2 linked regions of the Mytilus edulis genome follow. The protein of the gene in region 2 interacts with the protein of the main gene of each other region in a pairwise test. Links are inferred from orthologs where the notes say so. Each region holds a gene or a part of one and is shown on either strand. Other genes may lie near its edges.

Region 1 (6,833 bases), about 87 Mb from region 2:
TTGATGGTTTGTGGAAAGAATATTTCCGGTAATCTTATAATGCTGCTGAAATTTGGAAGCTTTTGTCATGCATATTTCTTGACAATCATTTAGGTGGAATTAGATGATCTTCCTTTGTCACAGCAACTTTCTCATTTACTATTTTGAAGAGCATGGTAAGTCTTGCATCTTTTCGTCTTTGTTCAAGTGATCTCCATTCTAGGTGGCATTTTGCTTACACTAGAGTGATTATGGTGTTTGTTCATCTCATATCCTGCTTGTCTCTGGAGCATCTCTAGTGGGTCAATTTCTGTTTAATTGTATGGATCCTATACATGTAGTCCGAGATTACTCTGACTTCCAACTGCTGTTTTGCCAGACAAGCTGTGGACGTGGGACGTCAGAGCTCGTCCCATATCAAAAAGTGGATATTTGCCCGTCCAAAATAGATGCGCTGCTATTCCCTTCTGGTGCCAACAGACGACCTTGGAATTGTATAAATCAGGTATCAATTTGTTTTTTTTTTCATTTATGTCTTCATTTATGTAAGTTTCTCCTACCTGCCACCCTTTATTTTCTCATATTTAGACAGTTTTCACAGTGACCCATCGATTCAGACATTTTTACTTTTATTTTCAAATGGACATCAAGTTACGAGAGATTTTGCAACCTCGAGACTCAAATATGCAAAAATTTATACTTTTTTCACCTCCTTTATAGGAGATCGATATTTAACATTTAGTAGCCAACCACGATTTTTCACCTCCTTTACAGGAGATCGGTATTAAGCATTTAGTGCAAACCACGATAACATTAGGAAGCTCTCGGATATTAACATTGATGGCATTTTAAATGAGCCAGGTGTTAGATTTTATATTCATATTGACCTATGGTCATATGCAAACATCATTTCCCATAGTCCATTGTGCCTTAGTTTTTTCTCGGGATCACATGACAATCTTTCAAAATCAAAGTTAAAATGCCAAAACCGGTGGGTCACTGTGAAAACTGTCTAAATATGAGAAAATAAAGGGTGGCAGGTAGGTGAAACTTACATAAATGAACTAGAGGCTCTAAAGAGCCTGTGTCGCTCACCTTGGTATATGTGAATATTAAACAAAGGACGCAGATAGATTCATGACAAAATTATGTTTTGGTGATGGTGATGTGTTTGTACATCTTACTTTCCTGAACATTCTTGCTGCTTACGATTATCTCTATCTATAATGAACTTGGCAAAGTAGTTTCAGTGGAAAATGTTAGTAAAAATTTACAAATTTTATGAAAATTTTTAAAAATTGACTATAAAGGACAATAACTCCTTAGGGGGTCAATTGACCATTTCAGTCATGTTGACTTATTTGTAAATCTTACTTTTCTGATCATTATTGCTGTTTACAGGTTATCTCTATCTATAATAGTATTCAAGATAATAACCAAAAACAGCAAAATTTCCTTAAAATTACCAATTCAGGGGCAGCAACCTAACAACCAGTTGTCCAATTCATCTGAAAATTTTAGAGCAGATAGATCTGGACTTGATAAAGAATTTGTTTAGCAACTATAATTAAATGCATGTAATTGCATAACCCTCAGGCTTTTTTTATAGTATAATACTGTTCAAACGCTTGGGGGATATCTGGATTAAGATCGCTAATCACTTGTACCTGAACTTGTTCAGGTAGATCAACAAACCAGACAGGAGAATATTACCTGAAGATAGAAGATTCATTTGTCGAATTATTTAACCAAGTTTCCGCAAATGCTTATGATAATTCAGATTAAATAAATAAATTAATAATCCAGTTCAAAGTTTAACAAGTCGACCACGTGCTTTTATTTTGACTTACGCAATCAGCATCCCCCTTTTTAAGAAGTACAAAATAAGATGTAAAACAGTAAATTATTATTTCATCGCAAATAACTGGAGTACTGCTGTATTGTAACAATAATAAAGAATTACTTTAAAAGTTAAAAAGTAAAAACTTTTAATATTCATGATATTTCCTGTAAAGAAATATCGTATCGTAATTCCCAATCATTTCGTAGTTTACAATCAAATTGATACATCCGCGTTTCCGGTTTCTATTCAGACTCGGAAAGATGCAAGTTGCATAGCATCATTAAAAACCTTTTCATTTCACAATGTTTGCTTTACAAATCTTTTTAACCTTTTACATAACCTGTACGACTCGTTTTGTTGTTGCTGCAAACCAGTACCGGTAATGGGTTCATGACTTCTGAAGTTGACAGTGTCCGTGAAAAATAAGCTCAACATGATTTTTAACACCCATAACAATTACCAAAAATAGCAAGAAAACTACCTTCGTGATAGCTATTGGTCATTATCGACTAAGGGAAAGGGAGGGGGCATAAGGGCTTGGCCTTTGAAGTGTTACAAACAGCAATTATTGAAAATATATATATTTCTATATAGAATTTATAATGAAAATTCAAATAAATATAATTTAAATAAGCAATGAATTAGCATGTTCACCTATCCTTATGTGGAGGGATGAAATACTTTTGATCGCGCTACACTGTACGGCGTAGATACAGTTTATGATGGTGAAAGTTTCTCCATCGTTCAATTTTTATCCATGGAGATCCCTGCATACATGATACAGGACTGGCATATTTTTATTATTGGTCTTACAAGGATTAGGATACTCCAATTACTAATGCACTAACTTGGATAGATTTTAATAGCTCAGTCTACATGTAACTTAAAAAGTGAAAATCAAGCTACATAAGCTCAAATAAGTTGTACATGTAGATATGCGAACGTTCGAACCAACCTGGGATGATGAACTGATGTCTGATGAAACCTAAACGACAGTCGAAAGCATATTTCCCCTCAACTTTTACTACGTCATTTGTTATATACAGCAGAAATTTACCTGAGTATCAGAATCTACACTCTCTGAATCGGAAGAATCTAGGTCTGACATTTTTCAATGAAAAAACAAAAACACGTGTGTCAAAGAAAAACAACTAAATAATAGTATCCGAAGTCAAACAGGGAGACATGAATATATTACGGAAACCTGTGGCGGTACTGTGTTAAAAGATTCATGATAAAGGGCGAATACATTTCAGTTTTGAATGTATCAGATCTTTTATGTAAATTAGTTGCGACTTACTAAATAAAAATTCCAAAGGTGCAGATTCGACAGTCGATCGATTGATTATATTTATAAGGTCACACGATCGTTTTTAAATGACATACTCTGATGTTGCTATATATCCTTCTTAACACGTATGCCCTATTCCGCCAAAAACACAGGCATAATTTGGAATCATTGTTGTATACTTACCAAAACAACTAACAATAATACACCCTCCCCCCCCCCAAAAAAAAAAACCCTGAAAAAAATCCCACCAAATAGCAAAAGACATAAACTTGAAATCAACGAAAGATATATATATATATATAGAAGGAGAGAAAACATTTTATATTGTTCCACTGCTATATAGGAACATTCCAGCAGCGTCTGAATATGAAGTTTATATCTCACAGTTAATGCGCCGGATATTCCAGGGCTTGCGTTCCTTATCGCTCCTTCCATGATAGTTCTTCTCACAAGGAAGCTTTCAGTGTGGTATAGGAGTATGAATTAAAAATGATGGAATTAGTTCATACTTTGCATAAACGTTGATGTGTTAAAAAATAATAAAAATGATGAAACCGAGCATTTAAGCTACAGGTTGTGACAAAATTAGGCCTACACATTTTGTATGGATTATACAGGAAAAAAACCCATAATCATGAGTGTGATTAGAAGCTACACTGAATGATAGCATTGTAAATTAAATACGAGAAGTTAGCATTTAGAATATCTTTGAGAATATCAAACAGAAAAGATAGGGTGTCACCGTACGTTTTTCTAGCTAAGATATACATTTTTTCTTGTAGGTTCCCCTAAATATATAAATTTTAAAACATTTCAAAACCAAGCAAAAATAATCTACACTCATAAAAGTATTTTAATATTTATAAGTTATAATCTAATAAATTTGTTCTTTTAAATTAATTTTCACATTAGCTATCTGCATTCCTGCATCAAACTTTGCTATTACCTCAGGCTTGATTGAAAATCTGGACCGTAGGTACTCTGTTGTTTACAATACAAGATGGCGAAAGACACCTTTACTACCTTAAACCGAGAGTTCCAAATGGTGAAATTAAAATCATTTCAATTTTTGGTTGGGCACTTGTTGCCCAGTTTTTAATATTCTATGTTGTGCTGTTTATACTGAGTGTCTTTTGATACCGTTTTTTTTTGTCAAAGCGTTATCAGCTCATTTTTTTTCTCATGAGTGTGTGTGTCCCTAAAGCCCCGGTCATACTGTCACGTTTCAAGAGCTACGTTTTGAAAGCGTACTAGTAGCGAAACGGAAATATACGTAACGAAGCGTATCGAAACGTAGTGATCCTTTCTTCAAAACGGGACCTGCCCCGTATGTTTTAAAAATTCAACAGCAAACGTAACGAAAATAGACACAAAGTAGAAACCTAGTAAATACGTATCAAAGCCTAATGGAACGTAACAAAACGTGCTTACTACGTATCGAAACGTATCAATGTGTGGTGGAAACGTGGGTCTACACGTACTAGTATCATAGCAAAACGTGATATATAAGAACGTAGCACAAACCTAGTAAAGTTAAACCCTAGCTTTCAAAATAACGGGACACTTTTATTTAAAACCGTAGTTGAAACGCAGCATTTTAAAACGGAATAAAACGTGACAGTGTGACTGGGGCCGTTTATTTAGCTTTCGCCTCTCTACCGCACAAGGGACTCAATGGAAAAGCAAACTTCTTAACAACAGACATTGTATCAAACACCAGGAACATTCGTAACTGAGGCAATAATCAATTCTACACACCACCTGACCTGTAAGAACAGACCAGAGTACAGCTTCATACCGACTCTTTAAAAACATTTATCCAACACGAATTGATCTTATTAGAACCCAAAGATACTACTTTATTTAGACACTACTTAATTTTGATACATGAGTAGTTTTAAAATACATGTCATGATAGATGTTAGGCTAAATAGCATCTGAATTGATGAAGTGTTGTGTTTACACTAATTCCACCCGAAATGTTTTGATTGATAATTTAGTCTATACGATTTTTTCACTAGCTGACATTTGATAAATTATTAACCGCTTGGCCAATCATTACTCAATGTTCGGTATTTGTTTTTAGGCAGCAACCATTTGATTTTCTGGGGGGGGGGGGGGGGGGGGGGGGGCTATGTTTTTTTTTGGAAAAAAAAGTTTGTTTCCAGTTTTTGGAGAAAAAAATAATTTGTTTATGATTCTGAGAAAAAAAAATTGTTTGTTTCACCCTCAGCTGCCACTATATGTAATGCTAAAATTGAAAGAAAAAAATTGTTTTCGACTTGTCGCGAAAAAAATAGATTGTTTTTTGCCGCAGGCGAAAAAAAAAGTTTGCACAGAAAAAAAAACCATAGCCCCCCCCCCAGAAAATCAAATGGTTGCTGCCTTAGAGTTCAGACGTTTGTTTTGAGAATTTAAAAATAGAGAATAATTGGCTAAAATAATAGAGAAAGTAAATAGGGGGACCTTTATCGGGACTTCGAGATCGGGTGTTTTTAAGCTCGGGATTTCGGGATAGATCGACATAAAATAGAGAATACAGAAATGAAGAATTCTGATTTTATAGACCCTCATTTATTCGACCTTGGATTTTAAACTACAAGTATTCCAAAATCATTTAAAAAGAATGCAGTAATTTCTACAATTAGTTCATGAAAATCTAAATAAGAAATATTATAAGATGGTAGATTTGAAGCAGCTGAAGTTATAATATAAACAATCCTCAATGTGAAAGCATTTCACACGGTTTCAATTTAAAATATATGTTATAGTAGACTTTATTTGATATTGCACGCTCAACCCCACCCCATCCGTTTTTTTTTATACCAACTACCAACCATCTCCGCCTTATTTTCTTGGGCTCCTCCGCCCCACCACTTATTGAAAGCCCGGCTGAATCCAGCGCTGATCCTTGTAGTTTGAATAAAAGAAAATCACTAAAAGAATTTTATAAAACAGATTTATAAAGTAAGGATAATGACTTTGACATAACTGAAGCAGTCTGTCAAATGAAAAAGTAATTAAAAGGGTGTCTGGATGGGGGTCCTGCAATTCTTCAAGACCTTTTCTCTATTCTTTATAAATTTTGCCTAATATTTGTACATTTTAGCTCCCCATTATTCTCTATTCTTTTTTTTTTTGCCTTAAGTTTTTACCTTTTTTGCACGTTATTGTCCATTATTGTCTATTCTGTAAACCCCATCGAGACCCTCGTAAAGGGGGTGTGTGTATTTAATATTTTTACTTTAATTATAATAGGACCATATCGTTTGCATTCCATAACTCCTTTATTATTAAGCGCAATCCTATTTTTTTTTATCATAAATGTTTATCGAACATTGTCCTATTTTTTAGCCTATCCCGTCAGTTACTATATCATACTGATACCTTGATCTATTTTCGACTTTATAATATAATCAACAGTAGTATTTATGTCAGGTACCAGTCATATGACTGAATTGCGCAATAACAAAACAAACGCATGGGATTGAATCACAAATGAGACATTTGTAGCATGTTATTATTTACAATCTGATAAAAGTAAGTAATATACGACCAACATAATAATAAATAAATAACACAAGAGTTCCGTGATCCCATTTATAATAATTTTGATGCTGTTAATAATAAGAATATTGATTCGGAATCTAACTACTTGATTTCTGTTTAAATTTAGGTGTGCGGGTATGATTTATTTATGATACCCACAAATAAGTTATT
Region 2 (6,833 bases):
CTGCGAATTGCAGCATATTAGAAACATCTGGAGGACTCAATGGTATCAGGTCCGTACACGTCCAACACACTTATGCACCCTACACGTTTGCATCTCTGTCCTCACATGTTCTCCCCCGAAGTCTGTTCGCACCCTGCACCATTTGTACACATTCACACCAAATTTTTATTCAAATTTCAGTTGAATTATACGATATTTTTTAAATGTATATATATATATGTATGACTCTAAAGTGCAATGGGGACGCTAAATTACGATGGTCACGCTAAAGTGTGATGGTCTACGCTAAAGTGCGATGCTTCCATACGCTAAAGTCTGATGGTCCCCAAAAATATTGACGTTAGAAACGTAGTTCGATACTGACGTTAACAGTCGTTTAAATACAAACCAAAAATGAACATTCCAGAAGATAGATTAGGAATATTTTATTAACAATTTTTACACCAAATGTCCATGACTTACGATTAATTGATTTAATTTAACCGTTCTTTGTCGGCTAAATCACAATGTTTATTTTTTCGAGTGCTGGAAGAAGGACTTGTATCCTACAGTCGACCATTTTACTATATACGAAAAAGGAGAAAGATCGGCGAACATTGCATTTCTCTTGCATTTAGATTAAAACTTTAACAAATAAATGTTGCATATCCCGACAATGAACGAATTTTGTATTTTTGATTTTCAATGACAAATGTAAGGGAGGTTGTAACATTAGTGTGAACGGCATTCTACACCAATTATCCAAATATTCAATACGCTCCAAATTGTTAAAAATTTATTTTACATGATTTATAATATTTGCAAAACATAAAATACCTTTATAGCAATTATTACTTGGTTGGACTTCATAATTTAGAAACAATCACTTCAGTCTACCAGTAAATTGTAAAGCCTATCACATATGTTATACCTTAGCATAATAGCTTTTGCAAAAAGACTTTTTTAACCTCGATGTTTTATTACTTCGAATCTTACCCTTTGGACCATCGCACTTTAGGGTGACACACCATTGTACTTTAGCGAACAAACAACCATCGCACTTTAGCGTGAGACGCCATAGTACTTCAGCGTTACCATCGCACTTTAGCGTTACCATCGTACTTTAGCGTTACCATCGCACTTAAGAGTACCATCGCACTTTAGAGTCTTACATATATACCAAAAATGTTTATAGCAAAACACTCATACATGTGATTCTTCCGGCGGGAGTTAAAATCTCCCGCTTTTCAGACCCTCTTCCGTCCCTCCCGTTAAAATTTGAAATCTTCCGCTTTTTGAAAATGTCAATCTCGAAAAAATTTCAGTAGACATTTCTGTTTACAAAATAGATACGGACAGGGAAAAAGTCCGAGAAACTCTAAATTGATATAGGAAAAGTCCGAGAAAAACGGAAGTTTCCTGTAATGGAATTTGTGTCAAAAAGGTAATAGGAAAATAGCCTTAAGTAATCAATGAAGGTGTTAAGGATTATAGACTGTATATACAACAATAAAAGATGATTGGCATTTACCTAGTAATCAACTAGCTAGTTAAATATACATGTCTGGATGATTAAAAGTGATACTGACAATGGAACAGTTGTATAAACATCGACTTTATAAATTGTGATGCTATTGAAAACATGGAACAGACTTAGTTTATACTGAACCTCAAAGACAATAAAATCAACTCAAATATGATATTTATGTCTTGTCTTCTATCTAGGCCAATGGAATACCTATATAAGTGTGTTTGTCTTATAATTTGACAAAATACAAACTGTATCATGTTATCATCAAATACATGTACCCCAGCATAATATTAAAGAAGACACAGTAATGAGTATCTAGCCAAATTTAAAAATGGTGCAAGTCCAGTGCCAAGGGTCAAGACAATGCTTACTACACTTCATGCAAAGCTGACTATGGGGCCCTAATTACTTGACCAAAAATATGGAGACAGCTACCCACCAGAAAGCCCACAACTCTATCAATTCAACACCTTCTTTTACAAACATGTTCAGTAGTGGTACTAAAGTTGACAATGTGGCTAAAGCAGAGGTACTTTTTGCCAACTATGTATGATGGCTGATCACTTTATCTTTGAACTATATATGATGGCTGATCACTTTAACTTTGAACTATATATGATGAATAAATATTTGACCCCCCCCCCCCCCCTTTATCTTCTATTTTACTAAGTAAAAATGGCTATGCAGGTGCTTGAAGGTATGAAATCATTGGGCTTTTTTTAACAAAAAAGGAAGATATGCAGTTTAAACACACACGAAAAAACCATTGCGTACGTCGATAAAAAATCTCCAGTTATGAGGCCCAAACTCCAGCTGAAAATTTCCAAATCTCCAGTTGTGGCTTGACAACTCTGTCACATGTATGAACACTTACCATGACCCCAAAAACAACTTGTCAGAATCTCACTTTATTTAGAAACCATGATAAAAATATATGTGTACAGCAATACACTTACCAAAACTTGATTACAAATTTTTTAAACACAAAACCAATAAAAGGTGTACAGTGTGACAGTGAAAGGGGGCGAACATGAATGGGAGCCAACTTGAGTGGGCGCAACTGGATGAAGATTCAGACTCAATAGTGTACATCACTAAAACTGATGTGTTTTAATCAGAAGTCCCCAGCAAGCGCTACTAACTTGTACCCAAACCACTTGAATCCGTCACAAAATAGCCAAAAGAAATATCTGATGTACCCATCCTAATAATTAGAAGTGGGAAATACAAATACAGAATTGGACAATCTTGATTTGAATGGTTCCTCATGAAGTCATAAATACTATTTTCATGGTTTCAAAATATAATTGTCTATCATGTTTTTGTAAAAAAAAAAAATCAAGACAAATACACTATAAATTACAATTTTTTTCAGTGGCTCGTCTGAAGATATTGTGGTGGGTAAGTGCACATCATTTTCTTTTTGAGAAGCCTTTTCTTCCTTTTCAACATCAGCACGTGTTCGCTTTTTCTTCGCCATGTTTACATTTGTGATTTGCTCCGCAAAAGTGCTCTAATATTTTTTTTAAATATGTTAATAATTTATTATTAAGTGATCCATTTCCTTTAATTAAACATTATTTTATATATTTTGACAATAATTAATTCGATAAATATAACTTTATCTTCAAAATATCAAATATAAGCTTTTTATTTATGATGTATCCGTATAATTTTTGTTTGTTTGTTCAATAAATAATATATCTGAATAAGAAATATTGATTTATGAACATACTGATTGATAAAAAAATATATAGTAGTATCTAAACTTTAAATTATCAAAACAAAATTTTGTTTATACTGGAAACATCAGCTAGTTAATCCCGCACCAAATTATGATTTCGAGCATCTGTTTACATGAAGTTTCGCAATGATTTCGTAAAACTCACCTTAGATTAGAGTGTAACATCCATATATTTTAGATAGACACAGAAAAGACATGTCTAACAACATTAACGGTGATATGAACATTATGTCTAATCCCGATCGTTCTTCAGATAATCGAACGAGCCCTAAGAAAGAATTGAGAAAACCACACGAATCAACACAAGCAAGGTTATCATATGGTCCAGGTTTGTTGTATTTCTATACTGTCTTTACTGCTATTGTCTTTATGAGGTTTCATTTGATAGAAGTATATGTTTATGTGATGCAGGAGTTCATTCTTTATTCTGGTTGAGGGAGAATTAAGTTTGGACACATCACATGTTTCAGTTTCCTTAAAATATAAATTTGTTATTGCTATCAGGTACAAAAATTATGTATTTGTCCAAGTGAATCAATTCAAATTCAAACTAACCCTGTCAATGATTATGGAATATTAATATAATAGATACTTTAAATTAAAGTATTTTTGCCAATTGTTTCCTGCATGTGTCGATGATGCAACACTCTTCTACAATGTATATGTTCCAGACCATATGAGTATTTGGACCGTACGCGTACGGTCCGGACCGTATACGTATACTCGTACGGTCCGACCATACGCGTACGGTCGGACCGTATGAGTATACGCGTATGGTCCAGTACGAGATAACCATTTATCACAATCTTTATTTTTAGTTTTATAAATTGTTGTCATTACAATTACTTTTAGATGGACAAAATGAACAATTGAACAATTGACATTAAATATTTGTTTAATTGTATATCTGAATACTATTTTGGTACTCTCGCCCAAGGTGACACTTACTACCACAATTAATGATATAGTTTTTACATTTACATGTTTGCGGTTCATTCATGTTCCTTTGCATTTGCATTTTTTTGTAAAGTTTCTAATATTCTAAAATTGTCGTCCCACATCATGTTAAATTCCGATATCGTAAATTTCTATGATCATAATTCAATTAATGTATTACTGATCGACATACTAAATACTAGATATTGATAGATTTAAAAAGCGTGATTTTTTTTATTAGTTAACAAATAAAGCTTTTATTCCAATTACAATTGAACTTTTCCATATTAATTTGAGAGTTAAGTTATGTTGATCTGTACATGAACTTTACATGCATTTGTAACTTATAAACTTAAGCAACTTCTTAATGATATCAATCAGACCGTATGCGTACGGTCCGACCATATGAGTATTTTGAAAAAGTACGCATACGGTCCAGACCGTACGCGTACGGTCCAAATACTCATACGGTCTGGAACATATATATCTAGTTTAAAATAAACAGACTGAAATTAAAAATTTGATAAGAACTCTATATACAGTGAAACTTCTCAAAACCGGCCGCCCATCGGACCACGGGATTCGGCCGGTTTTCAGGGGTGGCCGGTTTGTTGAATTTCAAATTAACAAGAGTTGCTTCCCTTCAATATTTGTGCATTTGTATTTTTGACCATGTATCAATCATAAAGTTTGTTTTGTTGTGTAAATTTAGCTTCGTATTCTAAATTTATTATGAAATAAATATTAAAACATCATTTGTATCTTTATTATTTTTTATTTTGCAGGAATAACAAATAAAATGCAACTATATAACAAAACAGTTTTAATATCGATATATTATGTTATTCAAATCATTAATCACACATTCATCATCGGTACCATACGGTGATAATAATATAGAAGCAGTACACAAACATTACAGCGCTACGTAGACATGCTCATAAATACATATAAATGATTTATTTTATAGGCACTAAGATTTAATTTTATACTTATAAAACATTACATTTTCCAATTAAGTATGAGCACTATCTATTTACGATTTATTTTGAAAGATCAAAGTGATTAATTTCTGTAATTTGCCTAAATTTTTTTTTTTTCAAATGATCAAATAAAGTAGCCAAGCTAAAACATTTAATAAAAAATTAATTATCATCATTGATTAGCGTGGGTGAAGATCATAATCTCTCAACCGATAATTTATTCGGGTATTGATTTGACATTGACAGGTAAACACTACTCAGTGGCCATGCAGGTGTCCTAATTGACCGGATTAACTTGTTTGTTTATATAACATTATTTTATATGGACTAATGATTACAAATGACAAGGCCGGTTTTATGAGGTGATATTTTATTGATTTTGATTACACAAATACACAAATATCGGCCGGTATCCGGTTTAAAGGGGTGGCCGGTTTTATAAGGTTACCTGACCGTTTATTTACATACACGCCGGCCAGGACTTGTTGATTTGGCCGGTATGAAGGGAGAACCGGTATTAAGAGGGACCGGTTTAGAGAAGTTTCACTGTAATCCAAACAGGGTCTTGCTAGGGATTTTTGAATGTGAGTTCTACAACAGCTCTTACATATTCTATTGTGTCCGGGAGTATTACTATATCTACCTTTCTCTATAAGTAAATGGTGAGCAGATATGCGAAATCTTGTTAGACTCCGTCTATCTTCAAATTGTAAAAATTAAACTTCAGGAGCTTACTGAATATACAGTATATGTGAAACTCTAGATTCAAGTACAAATGTATTATAAGGCCACACCAATTTAATTTCTTGTTCTACGGATTTTTGGACTCCAAAATTTGGGGCGAGCGAGCGATTTGAAAATTTTAATAAAAAAATATTTAATTTGCAAATTTTTGAGGCGAAGCTTGAAAAGTAAAGGCGAGCGGTTATAATTTTTTTTTGTAAACATAAAATAATAGGTTTTGACAATATTAAAACTTGATTTATCACTTGTACTTTGACATTTCTTTAATTTCTGAAGTATTTTTCCCTGTTCACCAAGAAATAATTAAATCTGGTCTATGTATGTGTGACTGACAGTGAGACAATTCTCCATCCAAATCATAATCAGTTTGGGGGCAACCCCTTAATGTTATAAATATCCCTTTTACATGTTTTATGAGAGATCAATATAAGTTATAATATATTTGTTTGTACAAAAGGGCTCATATTTTCTCATAAAACTATATATCTATCTGGTATTAAATGGTCAAAACATGTCCCAGAATTTAGTAATATTCCTGGACTTTAACCATGTTACTACATTTACTTTAACAGTTTAATATTATTCAAAATAAGTGGACCCCTCTTTAAGAAAAATTTGTTTAAAATATGATGTAACTCTCCTCTTTTTGAGTACAAAATTCTAAGTGTTCAAAGGTTTTGTATAGAAGAACTATACAAATCCTTGGTATTTCTATTTTCTTTTCTACATCAGTAAAATGACTCCTTGTCTGAGGGAGGGTTGTTCTCAACCTGATAATAACAAACACAGGTCAAAGTACGGCTTTTTACACAGGGCTTTGATACAGACCAAACAGCAAGCTATAAAGGACCCCACAATTATTAGCGTACACAATTCGAACAGGAAAACCCACGATCTAATTTATATATCCAAACAG

What was found.
Region 1: the proteins of ribosome biogenesis protein BRX1 homolog (region 2) and probable rRNA-processing protein EBP2 interact in binary tests that used the Drosophila melanogaster proteins (3 or more experiments, as listed by UniProt). The link is inferred for Mytilus edulis from reciprocal best matches to the Drosophila melanogaster genes CG11583 and CG1542.

Annotation. Positions count from the first base shown.
Region 1 is NC_092344.1:92,387,742-92,394,574, forward strand, and holds the start of probable rRNA-processing protein EBP2, read right to left. Parts: upstream 3,018-6,833; 5' UTR 2,931-3,017; coding exon 2,880-2,930; intron 1-2,879. UniProt on the Drosophila melanogaster protein: Required for the processing of the 27S pre-rRNA.
Region 2 is NC_092344.1:5,745,562-5,752,394, forward strand, and holds the start of ribosome biogenesis protein BRX1 homolog, read right to left. Parts: upstream 3,031-6,833; 5' UTR 2,991-3,030; coding exon 2,874-2,990; intron 1-2,873. Other genes in the region: polyadenylate-binding protein-interacting protein 1-like, read left to right, coding at 3,450-3,582. UniProt on the Drosophila melanogaster protein: Required for biogenesis of the 60S ribosomal subunit.